Oryctolagus cuniculus: one gene and its partner. The protein of the gene in region 1 interacts with the protein of each later gene in a pairwise test. Links are inferred from orthologs where the notes say so. Each region holds a gene or a part of one and is shown in the gene's direction. Other genes may lie near its edges.

Region 1 (3,652 bases):
CAGCTTCCTGCCAGTGCAGACCCTAGTAGGCCAGCAGCCCAGCAGCGATGGCTCCAGTGCCTGGGTCCTGCCACCAGTGTGGGTCACCTAATTTGAGTTCCCAGTGCCTGGCTTGACGTCAGCCCAGCCCTGGCCATGGTGGACATCTGGGGAACGAACCAGCTGATGGGAGTTCTCCCTCTCTTGTCTGCCTCTGACGTGGGAAAAAAAAATGAATTGAATGAGAGTCACTTTTCTGCTGTCATGAGCGTAGGGTGTGTATTTGTGACTTTTTTTTTTAAAGATTTATTTATTTGAAAGACACAGTTACAGAGAGAGGTAGAGACACAGAGAGAGGTCTTCCATCTGCTGATTCACTCCCCAGATGGCCACAATGGCCTGAGCTGTGCTGATCAGGAGCCAGGAGCTTCTTCCGGGTCTCCCACGTGGGTACAAGGCCCCAAGGACTTGGGCCACCCTCTACTGCTTTCCCAGACCATAGAAGAAAGCTGGATCGGAAGAGGAGCAGCTGGGACTAGAACTGGCACCCATATGGGATGCTGGCGCTTTAGGCCAGGGCTTTAACCCGCTGCGCCACGGCACCTGCCCCATGACTCACTGACTCTGGACACAGTCCCGCAGTCATTTACTCCCCGTTACAGCTCTCTTCAGTAGGCTCACAGACGAGGAAGGGACTTGGAAGTAGAACCAAGATCAAGCCCAGGTCGGGGACAGTTAAGGGTGTGCCGTCCACTGCTGCCAGAGGTGCTGTTTCCTGGCCGTGGTGCTGAGTGAGTGACCCCAGGACTGTTTCCATCCAGTAACAGTTATATGCTGCTTTAATTTGAACTCCATTTTCTGCCAGGTGTTTGGCTCTCGTCCAAGGAAGAACATGCAGGTAACCATTCTCACCTGTCGACACGTTACGGACTATAAAACCTCAGAATCTACTTGCAGCCTACCTTCTCCTTTCTTGAAAGCTCTGAAAACCGAGAATTTCAGAGACCAAACGTGCTGTTCGCTGCTGGAGCAGCCAAACATCGTCCATGACCTGCCCGCCGCAGGTGAGTTTAAAATCCCAAATGTTTGGGTGACGTCTTACTGTTTTGTTCATTCTTTCACGATTAGAGATCTTTGTGAAGCGGTCTCTTCATGACGGTTGGTACCAGTAGTTGCTGTTACTCCCATGTTGTCTGTGTTGGGAGTAGCTGAGATTCCTTAGAAACTGTTAGGGTTCAAGGCTGCTCTGGTTCTTTTGGATCTGTGGTAACTCAGCACGCAGGCCAGCACTAACCGTGCAGTGCTGGCGTATGAAGTCTGTTAAGCACATTTAATTAGCAGAATAGAAAAGTTTGGATATGGAAGCTTGCTAGTTGCTTTAATATTTTACTTATTTATTTGAGCTTTTTTTTTTTTTTTTTTTTTTTTTTTGAAAGAGTTACAGGGAGAGCTCTTCCATCTGCGGGCTCACTCCCCAGGTGGCTGCCATGCCAAAGTCTGGGCCAGACCAAAGCTAGGAGCCAGGAGCTTTATCCTGGTCTCCCACAGGGCTAGCAGGGGCCCAAGTACTCAGGCCATCAGTGTGGAGCTGGGTAGAAGGTACAAACCAGTACCTGCGTGGCATACCGGCTTCCCAGGCAGCGGCTTCGCCTGCTGTGCCACAACACAAGCCCCTATGGTTTTTGTTTAAATACTTTTTATTTATTTATTTGACAGGTAGAGTTATAGACAGTGAGAGACAGAGACAGAAAGGTCTTCCTTCTGTTGGTTCACTCCCCAAATGGCTGCTACAGCCGGTGCTGTGCCGATCCGGAGCCAGGTGCCAGGTACTTATGCTGGTCCCCCATGTGGGTGCAGGAGCCCAAGCACCTGGGCCATCCTCCACTGCCCTCCCGGGCCACAGCAGAGAGCTGGCCTGGAAGAGGAGCAGCCGGGACTAGAACCGGTGCCCATATGGGATGTTACTCCGCTGCAGGCGGAGTATTAACCAAGTGAGCCACGGCGCCGGCCCCCAGCCCCTATGATTTTCATGTGCTGTCACTAAACCCTCCTATCATGTCAGAAATAGATTGCCATTTATTTTCTGTAAGTAGATTGTGATATATATTTGCTATTTTTAAAATGAATTTTATTAAACTAAAATGAGTTTTTTTCCTTTAATGTGAACTTTACTAGAAAGTGGCCAAATATTTTACATTATGCATTATTTACTTATTTACATATAATCCTTGCATCAGTAAAATTTTAATCTTTCAGCTACTTAAAATTGTCTCAGTATGTTTAGGCAATGAGACATAAAGATAGTATTTGCAGAAACGAGATTATTAGGAAAATAAGTTGGTTTTGAAAGAAAATAACGTGTTTGAAGTCAGAATGGCAGTAAGTGACTTGATTAAAAGAGGAAAGAGAGGTGACTGTTTCACAAAGCCAGCTTTATGATTCAAAGCAGTCTAATTTGAACGTATGCTAGACTTACTGGTTTTCCTCCGCATTCATAGTTCTGAGTTACTGTCAGGTGTGGAGCCTCTCTGCGGTTCTGTACTTGTGCTACACTGATGTGATGAAACTGGACCTGATCACAGTCGACGCGTTTAAGCCTGTGCTTTCTTCCAGAAGCTTCAAAGGTTTGGTTAAGGTAAGGTTTTCACTCACGTGAATTAAGACCCACGTTACAGTAATGAACTTGATAACAAATACCAACATGCGATGTCAACTTAAATCCCAACCGCACGTGGAGATCCTTTGACCTCGGAGCAAAGCTCCCAGCCTGACAGCTGAATTTGGTAGTCAGCGGCTCTTCCAGATACACTGTGCTCCTTGCAGAATCGTTCTGTGTGACGGACGATGCAGTGCTGTTAAAGCCCAGAGCTCTGTGTGGCGTGATGGTTTTATTTTCTAAGTGTCTCTCACTGCTTTGGGATGTTAATTTTGCTAAGGTATTTCTGAGTATCTTATGAATCAAGTTATTATAAAATGTATTCCCATGATTGTGCCGAGAACGGGATATGTGGAGATATGAGAATCATACTTGGGGGATGAACCTGTTTCCTGCCCTCAGTTTGTATCTGTGGGCTCATTTCCTAGAGGGATCAGCAACAGAACACATCGTGGATGTCTGCGAGCTGTGCCGTGTCGGGCGGTGTGTGGACTCCCCTGCGTCCTCTGACACGTTGGCCCTGGCTTAGGGACTGCAGTGTCCCACAGCCCTGTTTGTTTCCGGAACGGCCACTGAGGTTAAGATTTCGTGGCAGGTTCTGTTGGAGGTCGCTCATTTCACAGATCTCAAATCAGTCTCACTCACTCGTCAGCTCCTTGCCGCAGCAGCTGGTGCTTTTCATTTTGGTGTCCTTATCGCACCGTGTCCCCGGCATGGAGGGAAGGCGCTCAGTTACCACCTGTGGAATCAATGGAGAGCGAAACTGTGGAACTCTGATTTAGTATACTTCCAGCTTATCTTTCAAGTTAGCAGAGTCAGGGATAGTCAGATTGAGTTATCGGGATCCCTTTCAAAGTTGGTACTAAGGACTGGTTTTGTTTGCCTATGTAGTTAGCTGACTGAGCCATCCACTTATTTTTTAGATTTATTTTTATTTATTTGAAAGGCAGAGAGCGCTCTTCTGTCTGCTGATTCACTCCCCCAGATGCCTACAACAAGCTAGGGCTGGGCCAGGCT
Region 2 (3,652 bases), on another chromosome or scaffold:
CCCCAGCTGTTTCGAGCCTTTTGGGGGTGAACCAGTAGATGGGAGATATATTCTCTCTCTCTCTCTTTCTCCCTTTCAAATAAAAATAAATAAACAAATAAATAATTTTAAGAGATATATAGAACTTTGGCAGGTTAACTGTGTCTCCAGTGTCTGTGAACCTGTGTGTCATAATATTAGCTGACATTTCCATAGTATTGACTGTAGATTGGCAAAGCACTTTGCCTCCATTACCTTTTTTTTTTTTTTTTAATTTATTTATTTTATTGGAAAGTCAAAGCTACATAGAGAGAAGGAGAGGCAGAGAGAGAGTCTTCCATCCTCTGGTTCACTCCTCAATTGGTTGCAAGGGCCGGATCTGCACCGATCCGAAGCCAGGAGCCAGGGGCTGCTTCTGGGTCTCCCATGCAGGTGCAGGGGCTCAAGGGCTTGGGGCATTTTCTACTGCTTTCCCAGGCCATAGCAGAGAGCTGGATTGAAAGTGGAGCAGCCAGGACTCGAACCGGTGCCTATATGGGATGCTGGCAGTGCAGGTGGCGGCTTTACCCACTATGCCACAGTGCTGGCTCCTCCATTACCTCTTGTAAGCCTCACAACAGCCTGTGAAGTAGGTTCTGTTCATTATTCCTGTTTTATCAATGGAAAACCCCAGAGCCCTGAGTTAAATTAATTGCCCAGTTTATCTAGTGAGTAAGAGAGCCAGAATTTTTTTATTATTACATTTTTAGTTATTAAAATAGAAGATTTTATGAATGTTGTAGATATGATTGCAAGAATACAATGATATTTTTCTCCCTACCATCAGAATTTGAATCCTGGCATTCTGTCCTTGTTTCCATTATTCTAAATGGATTGATTTATAAAATGGAAATAATTACAGATTTCTCAAGAATTGTCATCATGATTGAATCATAAAATGTTCAAATAGTGCTTGGCACATAATAACCACTCAGTAAAAGGTATCTGTCAGAAGTGGTAGTAAATTCTCTTCCCTTTGTTCCAGCCTCTTCCAGTTTTCCTTTGCTGCTTTAGATTAGTAACTGGAGAGTTACTTTCTTTCAGGCTCCTTGCTACAGTGCTTCTGAAAATAGCTATCTTCTAAGAGTAGATTTGGGGATGGATCAGAGCAGACCTCAGGGGGCCAGTGTTGTGGTGTAGCAAGTTAAGCCATGGCCTATGATGCCAGCATCCCATACAAGCACCCAACAAATTAGTTGTTCCACTTCATATCCAGTTCCCTGCTAGTGCACCTGATACAGCAATGTAAGATGGTCCTAGTGCCTAGGCCCCTGCCACTTATGTGGGAGACCTGGATGGAATTCCTGTCTCCTGGCTTCAGTCTGACCCTACCCCAGCCATTGGTGGCCATCTGGGGAATGGAAGGTCTCTCTCCCTCTCTCCTCTCTCCCCTCTCCCTCTGCCTTTCAAATTTAAAAAAATTTAATTAAAGAATAATAATAGACCTCACATGGGGCAGGAAGGATGGTTTTCATGCAGCTTGGGTGAGGTGCAGACTGGCATGTGCCCCAGGCAGTTGTTAGATGACTGCTAGTTTTGTTTCCACAGACATAAGGGTATGCATTGGGCAAGGGGGAATAAATGAGTGATCTTAGGACATGGTGTTCCCTCCTCGCCTAAAACCCGGAATGTCATCCTGGCTATAAAAACAGACATGCTAGAATCAGCGTCTTCTATCAGTGGAAGAATACTAAATTATTATTTTTATTTATTTTTGTAGCTGTTCTAAAGATATCCAGATGGCAGTTCTGCTAAAATTTGTCTCGGAAGGGGACAATATCCCAGATGCATTGGGTCTTGTTGAATATCTAAACGAATGGCTTCAAATAATCAAACCACATGTAAGTTTTCTGTAACATAAGCTTTTATTTCTCTGGTTATGTATTCATTAACTGACATTTTGTAAATAAACCAAATAAATTAAGTTTATGTTCAATATAGACATATCTTTACACAGAATTTAATTTAAGCTGAATTTTTGGAAATCAGGACAGTTAGTCAACATATTATTTACAGTTGTTTCATGAATACTAGTTTTCCAAGAAATACAATCCTAAGTTCTTCATTGTACTTATTGCTTATTTTACATTAATTATGCCAGACAGATCCTTATAAAAATAAACAAGTCTTTGGGTTTTAGGTTTCTCTTTTTAAAGGATGCAGAAGGTAATACTGTGTGAGCTATACTGTAGCTATTAGATATGTGTCATGCTTAAAGGACTTTTCTGTGTAATGAGAAGAGAATGTGACACCCAGAGAAATGAGTTAGCCTTCAGGCAGAAGTCCATCAGGCTTCTTTATCTGGTGGGTAACTGTCTTTTTAATTTGTGCTTTGCCAAGAAAAAACTGACACAGATCACACTGATTCTTTTTTTTTTTTTTTTTTTTTTTTTTTTGACAGGCAGAGTGGACAGTGAGAGAGAGAGACAGAGAGAAAGGTCTTCCTTTGCCGTTGGTTCACCCTCCAATGGCCGCCGTGGCCGGCGTGCTGCGGCCGGCGCACCGCGCTGATCCGATGGCAGGAGCCAGGAGCCAGGTGCTTTTCCTGGTCTCCCATGGGGTGCAGGGCCCAAGCACCTGGGCCATCCTCCACTGCACTCCCTGGCCACAGCAGAGAGCTGGCCTGGAAGAGGGGCAACCGGGACAGAATCCGGCGCCCCGACCGGGACTAGAACCCGGTGTGCCGGCGCCGCTAGGCAGAGGATTAGCCTAGTGAGCCGCGGCGCCGGCCCCACACTGATTCTTTTTAAAGCCCCTATTCCTCTTGAATTTGATTTTATTTAATAGACTCCATCTATAGCCTTCCTGGCGTATTTTTATGATTTAGAACTTGATGGCCAGCGCCGCAGCTCACTAGGCTAATCCTCCACCTTGCGGCGCCGGCACACTGGGTTCTAGTCCCAGCCGGGGCGCCGGATTCTGTCCCGGTTGCCCCTCTTCCAGGCCAGCTCTCTGCTGTGGCCCGGGAATGCAGTGGAGGATGGCCCAAGTCCTTGGGCCCTGACCTGCATGGGAGACCAGGAGAAGCACCTGGCTCCTGGCTTCAGATCAGCATGATGCGCCGGCCACGGCGGCCATTGGAGGGTGAACCAACGGCAAAGGAAGACCTTTCTCTTTGTCTCTCTCTCTCTCACTGTCCACTCTGCCTGTCCAAAAAAATTAAAAAAAAAGAACTTGAAGAAATTTATCCTTAGGTGATATTCAGACATAGAAACTTATTATATTTTATCTTTCCTTACAGTAAAACCTGGCTACCCCATGGGACTCCACAGGGAGAGCTTTTTAATACCTGCGTATTAAAAGGAGATTTGTTGGTGAAGCTGAAAGGCTTTTGTTTTTTCCTCTTTTTCAGGTACAGGGTGATGACCCTACAGCATCCACCTTGCCATGGAAAATCCCAAGTTCCTGGAGATTACTCTTTGGCAGTGGTCTTCCTCCTGCACTCTTTTGACCCGTGTTTTGGTTTTAGACCTTGTATCCCAGGATACTTATTACCAACACAACTGTTAAACCTTCAATGTGAAAATTTGTATTATCTGAGAATGTATTAGGAAGTAAATATTTACTTTTCACAAAAATCTCTAAAAAAAAAAAAGGATTAACTGAAAGTCTTTTGCCATGCTTTTCCTCAGAT

What was found. The genes of interacting proteins can lie anywhere in the genome.
Region 2: the proteins of PSMG1 (region 1) and PSMG2 interact in binary tests that used the Homo sapiens proteins (3 or more experiments, as listed by UniProt). The link is inferred for Oryctolagus cuniculus from reciprocal best matches to the Homo sapiens genes PSMG1 and PSMG2.

What each region holds. Positions count from the first base shown.
Region 1 is NC_091435.1:5,957,250-5,960,901, forward strand, and holds part of PSMG1 (proteasome assembly chaperone 1), read left to right. Parts: intron 1-844; coding exon 845-1,043; intron 1,044-2,477; coding exon 2,478-2,614; intron 2,615-3,652. UniProt on the Homo sapiens protein: Chaperone protein which promotes assembly of the 20S proteasome as part of a heterodimer with PSMG2.
Region 2 is NC_091441.1:69,583,262-69,586,913, forward strand, and holds part of PSMG2 (proteasome assembly chaperone 2), read left to right. Parts: intron 1-1,738; coding exon 1,739-1,859; intron 1,860-3,370; coding exon 3,371-3,469; 3' UTR 3,470-3,652. UniProt on the Homo sapiens protein: Chaperone protein which promotes assembly of the 20S proteasome as part of a heterodimer with PSMG1.